3 linked regions of the Cricetulus griseus genome follow. The protein of the gene in region 1 purifies or fractionates together with the protein of each later gene. This does not show direct contact. Links are inferred from orthologs where the notes say so. Each region holds a gene or a part of one and is shown in the gene's direction. Other genes may lie near its edges. The genes, in order: Arpc5l, Arpc2 and Arpc3.

Region 1 (3,750 bases):
GCTACACAGAGAAATCCTGTCTTGAAAAACCAAGAAAAAAAAAAAAAAGGACATCTTTTATAATATCAGATGTTAATTCCTGCTATTTTATGGCCAGCCTGCATCCCAGATTTCTTCTTATGTATGGGGCAGATATACAGGTAGGTTTTGACTACTTCCAGGATCTGAGACTTTATTCAGCATCTACTTGCACCATGTCTGCCTGGCAGTTTTTGATCTACAGATACAGTTCAATGGGAAGTAGGCAAAGCAAAACATGATGTTTCAAATACTGTTTTTGCACAAGAGTGCTATCAGATGAAAATGTAGTAAGTTTTCGTACAATTATGGGAAAAGCCCATTTTAGCCTACAGCTGAAATCAGGAGAAACCAGCATCCTAGGCCTCCTGGACTAACTGCACTCTTCCCACCGGTTTCTGAATTCTGCTGCTTTCGCCTCCTAAAATGCACCTCTTCAAGTCAGCATCGGCCTTCAGCAATAAAGGTGACCACGGCATCTTTTTTTTCGGAGCGCCCGGAGATGTTGCTACATCTTCAAGTAAAGATGTCCTCAAGCGTCATGTCAGTTCTTGGGTTATACGTTAACGCAGTTATAAAGCCCTTCACTCCTTTAACAAAGTCACTTCTCTGTAACCAGACAGGAATCCTTTTGTGGGTCAGTGCGGTTCGCGTCCAAGGTAGAGAGGCTCAGGCGACGCGCTTCACTATCACTCCTTCCTCAGCTCAAGGGTTTCTTCCTCAGGAGCTGACGGAGGTGCTGCCTGTGCCCGCAGGCCGGTAGCCTGGAGGAAGACACAGCAACCGCGGCACCGCTAGGGGAAGCCACAACAGGAACAAACGAATCCGCGCCTCTGTCCCGCCCACACAAGCTTCCGGTTCCGACGTGGCCCGGAAGTGGGCGGGCGGCGGCGGCTGCGCGTGGAGAAGGGCAGGAGGTGCTTCGCTGCGGCTTCCCGCCCCCGAGCGGAGCCGGTGCGGAGGGCAGTGGGATCTAGCCGGCTGGGCAGCCGCCGAGCTCCCGCCATGGCCCGGAACACACTGTCCTCACGTTTCCGTCGGGTGGACATCGACGAGTTTGACGAGAACAAATTCGTTGACGAGCAGGAAGAGGCGGCGGCGGCGGCTGGCGAGCCAGGCCCCGACCCCGCCGAGGTGGACGGGCTCCTGCGGCAATATCCTTCCCGGCGAGGCCGCTCGGACTCGGCCTTCGCACGCACCCTTCTCGCCCCAGCCCTAGCCCCCGCCCGGCTTCTACCAGTCCCGAGCTCCCCGGGTCCTTCGTCCCCGGCCTCTACCCTTCCTCAGCAGCGCGGCCCTGGAGCTCGTTTTACTCCTCCGCATCCCTCTGGGTACCCGTGCATGGGCCTTGATCCCTCCAAACCTCCTTGCAGGAGACTGGGCCATGCCCGGCCGCTGATCCGCGGGAGGGCCGGAGGTGAGCCACCTTGGATTCATTGAGCAGCCAGGGCCTCCGGCGGCCTGTCTATGGCTTTCTTGGGCCCGATTGCAGCCCAGCGTGAAAATAGGTGGGTGGATTGTTGGGGGGAAGATGGACCAGAGGGTGGGGGTTGGGGAGGGGAGGGTGTGACATTGCCGTGCCACCTCTTCTCACCTGTCATCACATTCCTCTGAGCACGTTGGGTTTTGAGCTTTTATGGGCCGAGCCACATTCAACAAGTGATTTGCGACTCTCCCATTAACTGCCTTGTGCAGGAAGCATAGAAAAAGCTAGTGTCAAGTGTAAAAGAGACTCCCCAGCGACTGGAAATGACTGCTCTTGTGGCCACAGAAAACTGACGTTTAGAACAGAAGAATAAAAATAGAGGTGACTGTCAACTGGCTTGAGCACCACGGGGAACTGACAATCTCACAGGAAGTTTTTATTCTTTATGCAAATGGTGTGTACCCTTCCCCCGCACTTGCTAGGGCCGTGTTGGAGGCTCTTGCTGTATATAAATCATGTTCTGGGTGTTTAATCAGTTGACTTAGCCTGGGAAGTCAGGCCTACTGCTTTTGGGAGGAGCCCCGTAGTTCTCTAATATACCTTTAAAACAACTCGTCCAGACAGGAGTGTTTTCAAACGTGGAGATTTCAAACTTGTATTTCCTGCATCATTCAAGTGGTTAAATGGGGTGATGAGAACGGTTTTTATTGTGGTGCAGGGAATTGACTGGTTTATGGGCACTCAATTGTTGACAAGGCTCCAGAGTGATTCATTTGACCCAGAATCCTAATTATATTGATGAAGAGACTGGGGCTTGGTCAGCTGTTGCCTTGGTACTTTTTTTTTTTTTTTTTTTTTTTTACCGGAGACAGGGTTTCTCTGTGTCCTGGAACTCACTCTGTAGAGCAGGCTGGCCTCGAACTCACAGAGATTCACCTGCCTCTGCCTCCTGAGTGCTGTGACTAAAAGTGTGCGCCACCAATGCCTGGCGCTAGCTGTTTTCATTATTTTTTTAATGAGGCAGTTTCAGGCTTTAGATTTAGAGCTTCTAGAGAGAGGAGATGGCAGTATCAGAAGCCTTGTTACGGTGGAAAATGTACCTCTTGGGATTGGGAGAAGGGAGGTTAGCAGATGAGAAGTGAAACCCTAGCAGATGTCAGCAGGTAGGGGGAAGGATGGAAGTAGTAATTGAGTGCCTTCCAGGTGCCAAGTGTTGGACTTCGATCATTGCATTCAATCCAAAGAACCTCATGGGAGGGAGTCTTGGAGAAGAGCAGAGGTTTGGGGGGGGGGGCTAAGAGGAAGTGGTCTCCGCTGTTGTGGGAATTGCCATTGTAGAAGAGCAGATAGAGTATTTTTCCCTGGTGCAAGAAGGGACTTTGAGAGCCCTTCCCACGTGAAGGGATACGCTCTGGCCGTGGACACATGGGGAAGGGCCCAGGACCAGCACAGGAAGATTTGGTGGACTTTGCAGAGCCCCGGTTGAGAGGTCACATACTTCTCAACCTCAGTATTCTTTTTCTAAATGATAGACATAACTATGCTGGCCTCACAACTTCAATGTAGCTTCACGGAACACACATCTGGTGTTCTCCACAGGTTGTGGTGATGGAGTGTACAGAGGGCTTGGATTTGTGACCTTGAGCAGGTAATTTCCCTTCTGGCTCAGTTTCATTGTCTCAAAGGAAGAAGTCAGGTTCTTGTCCCAGAGGATTTTTAAAGGAAGGTGAAATGTGAAATGTGACTGCATCTAGTCCTGGGTCTAAGACCCTGGGGAGATTTTTCCTCCACTCTGGCAGTTTTAAATTATCACTGTAGCTCATTTTCTTTCTCAGTGAAGCAGCTTTTGGTCCTTGAAGAGGACTATAGAGCACCATTTTGAGTGATTTCATATAGTTCTTTTCACCCCCAAGGAAATTTGACAATCTGGTGACACTTGTTTATCACAGTTTTAGGATGTTACTGGGAACTTTAACGGTAGAGGCCAGGGAGGCTGTTAAGCATCCTGCAACACACATCAAAGTTTTAGGGTCATGGCTGAGAACAGTCTAGAGGGTTCTGTAGTTACCACAGTGTGTTCTCTGAAAGTGCTGGAAGCTGTCTAGGTATGGAGGTAGTTTAGTAAACTTTGTGTGATCGTAGAGTTGCCCCCCCCCCCCCCCCCCCAGTTCTACCCAGCAGTAGCTTTTGTGAAGATTGCTTCACAAAAAGCTGCAGGTACTGTCTGGCAGTGGTGGCACAGACCTTTAACCCCAGCATTTGGGAAGCAGAAACAGGTGGGTATCTGAGTTCGAGGCCAGCCTGGT
Region 2 (3,650 bases), on another chromosome or scaffold:
GCCTCTACCCTGTTTACTTGGAAGAGATAGGTTTGGTTTGGCTTTTGTTTGTTTTTTCATTTAACTGATGGGTGGTTTGTTTGTTTTTTCTTCCATCAGGATACAATGTTTCTTTGCTATATGACCTTGAAAATCTGCCTGCATCCAAGGATTCTATTGTGCATCAGGCTGGCATGTTGAAGCGAAATTGCTTTGCCTCTGTCTTTGAGAAATACTTTCAGTTCCAAGAAGAGGGCAAGGAAGGAGAGAACAGAGCGGTCATCCATTACCGGGACGATGAGACCATGTAAGTGTGAACTTCAGCTCCAGCCTGGTGGTGGCCTCCATACAGCACTGACTGAGAGAGATACAGTATCAACCAAATGAAAAGAAACCCTGTGCTGTCCTTAAGGCACTACTCTTTTTTTTTTTTTTTTTTTTTTTAAGATTTTATTTATTATGTATACAACGTTCTTCTTCCATGTATATCTGCACACCAGGAGAGGGCACCAGATCTCATAAAAGATGGTTGTGAGCCACCATGTGGTTGCTGGGAATTGAACTCAGGACCTCTGGAAGAGTAGTTAGTGCTCTTAACCTCTGAGCCATCTCTCCAACCCTAGGCACTACTCTTATTATTTTATGTGTATTGGTATTTTATGGTTGTGAGCTGCTTTGTAGGATGGGAATTGAACCCATGTCCTCTGGAAGAGCAGCCAGTACCCTTAGCCAGTGAGCCATCTCTGCAGGTCCAAGGCATTACTTTTCTGAGTTTTCTTAAAGGAGTTTCCCATGGGCTAGGGAGAGACTCAGCCCTTCAGAGTACTGTCTGCTTTTCCAGAGGCTCTGAGTTCAGTTATCAACCCACATGGCAACTCATAGTCGTCTGTGACTCAAATCCAGGGCATCTGACTTTCTCTTTGGACACAAAGCACACACATGCACAGTTATACATACAGACAAAACACCTGTACATATAAAATTAAATAAACACATGAAAAAATTTAAAAATGGCCTAGATAGTCAGACACCAGAGACCAAGCATAGATGCTGTAACTGCAGCTCTTAAATGTGTACTATGTATGGATCCTATCATATGTAAAGAAACTTTTTTTAAATGACATTATTAAGAATTACTAATTTAAAATAATGTTATGCCTTATATACAAGATTTAAAAACCTAGTTTTGTTAATTCCACTTCCTTCTTGGGAATGCATTTACTACCCTGACTTTCTTGACTGCAAGTACTAGTCTCTGGCACACCTTTGTTTTATTGAGTTGGAGACTGCACTTTACCCTTCTTGCAGATAGTTAGTGACAGAATCTCCTGATGCTGTACTTACACGCCCGAGTTTGTTTCCCTCAGGTATGTTGAATCTAAAAAAGACAGAGTCACAGTAGTCTTCAGCACGGTGTTTAAGGATGACGACGATGTGGTCATCGGAAAGGTCTTCATGCAGGTATGGAGCACAAATCTTCAAGGGAAATGGTGTTGCAGGAAGTTAAATCTTTACACTCTGCATACCTAGCCAACATATGGGGTAGGGTTGTATAGATCAGTGGTTGAGCATTTGCCTAATATGTACATGGTTTGTGGTTCAATCCCCAGTACCTGGGAACATGGTAACAGAATAACATACATGTAGGCCATATCATAGGAAAGACAAAGTTCTGTTAATGTTGGAACTTGGAAGTTGTGATGAACAACCCTGTCTTAGTTTGTTTCTTTGTTGCTATGATAAAACACTGTGGCCAAAGGGTTTATTTTACCTTAGACTTCAAGGTCACAGTTCATCACTGAAGGAGTCCAGGAGCCCAAGAGCCTGAAAGCAGGAACTAAAGCAGAGACCATGGAGGGGTGCTGCTTACTGGCTTGTTCCCCATGGCTTGCCTGTCCTGCTTCCTTATACAGCCCAGGACCACCTGCCCAAGGGTGGCACAACATACAGTGAGCTGGCTCCTCACATTAATCATTAATCAGGAAAATGCCCCACAGACATGCCCACATGACAGTCTAATGGAGGCAGTTCCTCAGTTGAGGTTCCCTCTTCTCAGAAATGTCTAGGTCTGTGTTGAGTTGACAAAAGCTAACCAGCATGGCCCCCCACCAACTTATATGAATATACTATTTCTTCTTGATGGTTCTAGCCTTTTGCAGGACAAGGCAAGAGGGAGAGTTAATTTTGACTGAATATTAACTATCCTTCCTTCCTGTGACAGAGTCCTTGATCTAAAGTGTGGTCTCATTTCCTTATCTCATGTTTACTCAGTTTTTGTATCAAGGACTGTTCTTGGCTTGCATTAGGTCCCATGTCTTCAGAATGATGAATAATGAATTCCAAAGTAGGAGATAACATTCAGTAGGTGGAATTGTGGCTGACAGGAGAGCCCTGCCATAGTTTGAATGAGTCACCGTAGATTGCCTCCTGCTGGGAAGAGTAATGGGATTTAGAAGAACATTTTGTCATTGGGATTCTGGTGCAGTGGGACTCAGCATATTGTAGACCCCTTGTGACTGTGTCATTTTGCCTGCTGGCCAGTCACTGGCTCTCAGACATGAGAGCTTATTGATCAGGAGATACTCAGGCTGCTGCCTTCTGAAGTGGATAAGCATTCACACTGCAATATAAAGCTTTAATACATTTTCCTGTTCTCTGGCAGAATGATGGATTTTATTTTGTTTTGTTTTTAATTCTGAAGCAGACAGGCTTATTGCCCAGCGTCTAATCCAACCACTTAGAAGCCTGAGGCAAGAGGATTGCTGCAAGATGGCCTAGGCCTCAATTTTTTTTTCTTTCAGAGAAAAAAAAAAATTTTAAAGTACAATCTCTACCACCACCCCCCCCCTTCCAAAAGAGGCTTAAAAGAAGCTGTGGTTACCACAGTGAGGCTTTATGTATGGACCTTCTACCTAGCAAGGGAAAATGTCAAAATGCCATCCTCATTAATGCCTTTTTTTGGGACTGACTGATCAATAACTCTTGTTTGGGAGTCCCTTTGTGAAAAGTGGAATATTGACACTTTGGCATTTGATAGTACTGGACTTCATGAAGAAAAAGAGGGTATGCATATATGACTCTTAAAGGTAAGCCCCTAGACAGACATTCCATAATACTGTTTGCATAATTAATGGGAATTAAATGCAATAGTTAAGAAGTGGACTAAATCTAGGCTAGGCTAATTTAAGATGCTACCTTTATCATACACAGTTTATCCCCAGGATAAATTGTACTTTGTTGGAAGAAAGAAATAGTGCCATGGTAAAATCACAAGCTCGATGGCCTGATTTGAGTTCCATCCCAAGGTCCTACATGGTGGCAGGAAATAACTAACTTCCTAAAGTTGTCCTCTAATCCACATATATGTGCAGTAGACCAGATGCTCACACTCACAGAGTGAATGAAATGTAATAAATGTTTTTAAAAAAAGTAATAGTGTACTTGGTGTTCAGCCGACATCCTAACAATCAGGTTGGTTTTTATGTGACGGCTAGGCTAATAATGAAGACTGGGGCTGTTTGGTGGGGCTGATTGCTGTTGTTATTTCAAGAGAGAGCAAGGGAGAAGCAAAGACATCAAGTTGTCTAAAGGCAATTTCCCACTGCAGAAATAGTGTTGATTAAATCTCTTGAGGAATGGGGAGAAGGAGGAAGAGAACTCATCTTATGTAG
Region 3 (3,750 bases), on another chromosome or scaffold:
GACTTTATATAATATAAATCAACCTGCCCTACACATCTCTTGTTCTTGTGTGTGTGTGTGTGTGTGTGTATGTATGTGTGCACACTCCAGTGCACTTGAGTCTAATTTTAATTTTATTTACAGTTGGATTTTTGTTTTTTGAGGGATTTTCTTTTGATTGATTTGTTTGTTTTTGAAGAGGTACAATTATTGTAACAAAACATATCTCCAAATGAAAAAATATTGGAAGGGTATATATACATGAATCTTATTTTCCCAAATCAAACATTATTTATACAATTAAAAATTAAAACTGTGTTTTGAGATATGTATTTATGAATGTATGTGTTGGAAAGAAATAGGTCCTCCCTTTTTTTGTATTTTGAGAGTGTTTCTCTGTGTAGTCCTGACTATCCTGGAACTCACTCTGTAGACCAGGCTAGCATCGAACTCGGAGATCCCCTGCTTCTGTTTCCCAAGTGCTGGGATTAAAGGCAAGTGTTACATGGATGGGCAGTGGTGTTGCACTTTACTCCCATGGTGGTCCCTGACTGTCTCAATGTGACAAGGAAGACAGGGAGATGAAACACCACAAGTAGACATCATAAAACTGAGCAACCAGGAGTGATGGGGACCACACCTGTGATGCCAGCATAAAAGTATTCAAGAGGATGGCTCATAAATTCAAGACACATGTATCCAGTTTGAGACCAGCCTGGACATTGTAAGAATCTTCCACAAGAAAATAAAAATAGGGACTGGAGAGATGGCTCAGCAGTTAAGAGCACTGACTGTTCTTCCAGAGGTCCTGAGTTCAATTCCCAGCAACCACATGGTGATTCACAACCACCTTGAATGAGATCTGGCGCCCTCTGCTGGCATGCAGGCAGAAGACTATAATAATAAAATCTTAAAAAAGAAAAGAAAAATAAGGGCCGCCGAGATGACTCAAGTGCAAAGGTACCCGGAGACCTGAGATCGGTGCCCAGAGTCCCCATGGTGGAAGGTGAGCACCAACTTCGACTCCCCACGTGGGCTGCGGTAAAAATAAAAACTTGACAGTGGAGGAGGATAAATCAGGGAGCTGAGTGGTACCGGATTTGAAACAGGCCAGGGAATTTAAAAAAAAAAAAGCGGGAGGTGATTATTAACCTCTGAAGGACTCTTTAATTGTAAAGCTGCGTGCGCGCGTTTTATGAATGCGCTACACACTCAGCCTATTGCTCGCACATCCCTGGCGTCCTTTCCGGTCAGAGCGGTCGCAGCAACCGGGAGGCGGAAGCTAAACCGGAAGTGCATCTCTTCGCTTCGCCCGCCTCTTCCGGCTCACTTCCGCCCACTCCACCCAGGTTCGCTGGCCGGAAGCGTTCCGCTTTACCTGGGTCCTGCTTCTCTGGATCGAATCCGGACACCTCCAAAATGCCGGTAAGGCTTCGAGCCCCGAGGGTGGAGAGGCGAGCGGGGCAAGGGCCAGAAGAGAGGCGGGAGGCCGCGGTAGAAGTCCGGGGAGAGAGAAAACAGCTGCCCTGCTCTCCAGCCCCAGCCCTTTGCTCCAGTCCTTTTCTCGCAGGGCTGCTTTCTTCCTAGTCCTGCAGTGTTCCCAGATCCCACCCGAGAGCCTCGAAGTTAAGAACGACGGCTTTTAACTTATTTTTAAATCTAGGGTCCAGCTTCCCCTTTTCTCTCCCCGTTGTCACTTCCACTTCCTCCTCCGCCCCATGGAGTGGGTCAGCCTGCTGCTAAACACCTGTCGGGCTTCGCTTCCCTGACCGATCCCTACCTCGTTCTCCCTGCTGTAGCTCCAGACCACGATCGAGACAGCGCTGGTTTCTAGGAGTTTTCTTTTTCGTGTGCTTTCGAGTGGGAGGAAAAATTGGTGATGGGCGATGTGTCTTGACATTTGACTGCCGGTCTCCATCATGGGTTCTGTTTTGCAGATTAGTAAAGGGATGCGTGAATAAATCCACATTGGACAAGCATCCCTGAACTCTCACTAGGAAACCAGCACTGTTAACAGCAGCTACCAAGGCCTGCTCAAGGAGCTTACAATTAAACCGTCAGGGGAAGGAACTCGTCTGCAATTTCAGAGCTGGGAAGGGTTAGAGATCCCTGAGGCTCCTTGTCCCAAAACTAAAGTGGAAAAAGCAGTTGTGGAAGAGACCTGGCTTCCATGTGTAGATGTACACATACACCTGCATGCACACATGAACACTTATACACTACACACAAACATGCATGAGTGATGTATGGACATGTGCAAAGAAGAAAACCAACACAGTACCCCATGACAGAGAGGGCACCAGGCTGGTGTAGATACGGTGTACTTGGGTCAAAAAGGAGAGCAAGTGTAAGTTTCAGCTCTGTGTATGTGTTTTAGCAGTGCTGGGAATTGAACCCAGAAACTCATGGCAGGCTATATAGATCCTCTACCACTGAGCTATATCCCCTCCTCCTTTTTACCCTATTTTGAGGAAGGGTCTCATAAAGTTGCCCAGGCTGGCCTTGAACTTGTGATGCTCCTGCCTCAGCTTCCCAAGTAGCTAGGATCACAGGCCTGCATCACCAAGTTCAGCTTTGTAAGGTTTATGAGTCTTGATGAGTCTTAGAGTTGCTGAGTGTATGTGGAGACCCAGGGTTACTGTCCAGATGAGACCTTCATTCCCAGGATGACACTATGAAGTAGATGTCCTTATTGTGATGGTTTTGCTGAAGGAACTAGGGCTCAGAGAATTAATGTGACTTGTGCAGTGTTTCTCACAAGAAGTGAAGCCAGAGTTTAAGCCAGAAAGGAAAGCTCTGTGCTCATTCCAGTTGGACACAGAAAGTTCTGGACTTAACCTATGATAATTTATTTTATGTCTGCTTTCTCTGTTAGCATGAAATATCACATGTGTGCCTATATATGTGATATTTGTGTGATATATGAGATCTCATGTCAGGGCCTAGAGAGATGGCTCGGCAGTTATGAGTGCTTGCTGCTGTTAGAAGCACATATACTTGGTGTCACACAAAGAAACACATAAACAAAGCAAAAGCAACTTAACAGCAATTTTTTTCCAAAAAAAACCCAAAAGATGTACCATGACCTGGACACAAACAGAGTTAGCAAGCACAATGGGATGGGGTGGGTAGTTCACATAGTTTTTATTCTCACTCAAGTAGTGACTGTGTCTTTCATGACTATCTAGTTTTAAAAGAGTCTTCACGTAGGAAATGAAGGGTACGGGAAAGGGTCAGCCCCTTGGGCCACCAGGTTCTAGCAATGTAGCAATGCCTTTGGATAACAGAAGTGGTACCAGGTGGGGAGATTAAAAGATATGTGGAGGTGCTGGGCGGTAGTGATGAATGCCTTTAGTCACAGGCAGATCTCTGTGAGTTCGAGACCAACCTGGTCTACAAAGCTCCACTGAGAAACCCTGTCTCAAAAAACCAAAAGAAAGAAAAAGAAAATGTGTGGAGAGATGGCTTAGGGATTAAGAGCACTGGCTGCTCTTCCAGAGATTCTGAGTTCAATTCCCAGCAACCACATGGTGGCTCACAACCATCTATAATGGGATCTAATACCCTCTTCTGGCATACAGGCATACAAAAAAATAGAAATAAATTTAAAAGTTTTAAATGTACATAAAAGATTTACTAGGTGGGGCAGATTGGCTCTTGAAGGGCTAGCTACCATTGACATCAGAAAAGCCCTATTCTCACACTGCTCTTAATAGAGCACTAGAATTTTGTTCCCAGCATCCATATCCATCAGCTCACAACAGCCAGGTC

Evidence for each region.
Region 2: the proteins of Arpc5l (region 1) and Arpc2 fractionate together in Homo sapiens (co-fractionation; 7 studies listed by BioGRID and IntAct, with this or other methods). This does not show direct contact. The link is inferred for Cricetulus griseus from reciprocal best matches to the Homo sapiens genes ARPC5L and ARPC2.
Region 3: the proteins of Arpc5l (region 1) and Arpc3 purify together in Homo sapiens (affinity purification with mass spectrometry; 7 studies listed by BioGRID and IntAct, counting the BioPlex papers as one, with this or other methods). This does not show direct contact. The link is inferred for Cricetulus griseus from reciprocal best matches to the Homo sapiens genes ARPC5L and ARPC3.

The regions. Positions count from the first base shown.
Region 1 is NC_048599.1:150,270,690-150,274,439, forward strand, and holds the start of Arpc5l (actin-related protein 2/3 complex subunit 5-like protein), read left to right. Parts: upstream 1-903; 5' UTR 904-1,023; coding exon 1,024-1,172; intron 1,173-3,750. UniProt on the Homo sapiens protein: May function as component of the Arp2/3 complex which is involved in regulation of actin polymerization and together with an activating nucleation-promoting factor (NPF) mediates the formation of branched actin networks.
Region 2 is NC_048595.1:427,495,413-427,499,062, forward strand, and holds part of Arpc2 (actin-related protein 2/3 complex subunit 2), read left to right. Parts: intron 1-99; coding exon 100-286; intron 287-1,346; coding exon 1,347-1,440; intron 1,441-3,650. UniProt on the Homo sapiens protein: Actin-binding component of the Arp2/3 complex, a multiprotein complex that mediates actin polymerization upon stimulation by nucleation-promoting factor (NPF).
Region 3 is NC_048597.1:102,222,483-102,226,232, forward strand, and holds the start of Arpc3 (actin-related protein 2/3 complex subunit 3), read left to right. Parts: upstream 1-1,159; 5' UTR 1,160-1,398; coding exon 1,399-1,404; intron 1,405-3,750. UniProt on the Homo sapiens protein: Component of the Arp2/3 complex, a multiprotein complex that mediates actin polymerization upon stimulation by nucleation-promoting factor (NPF).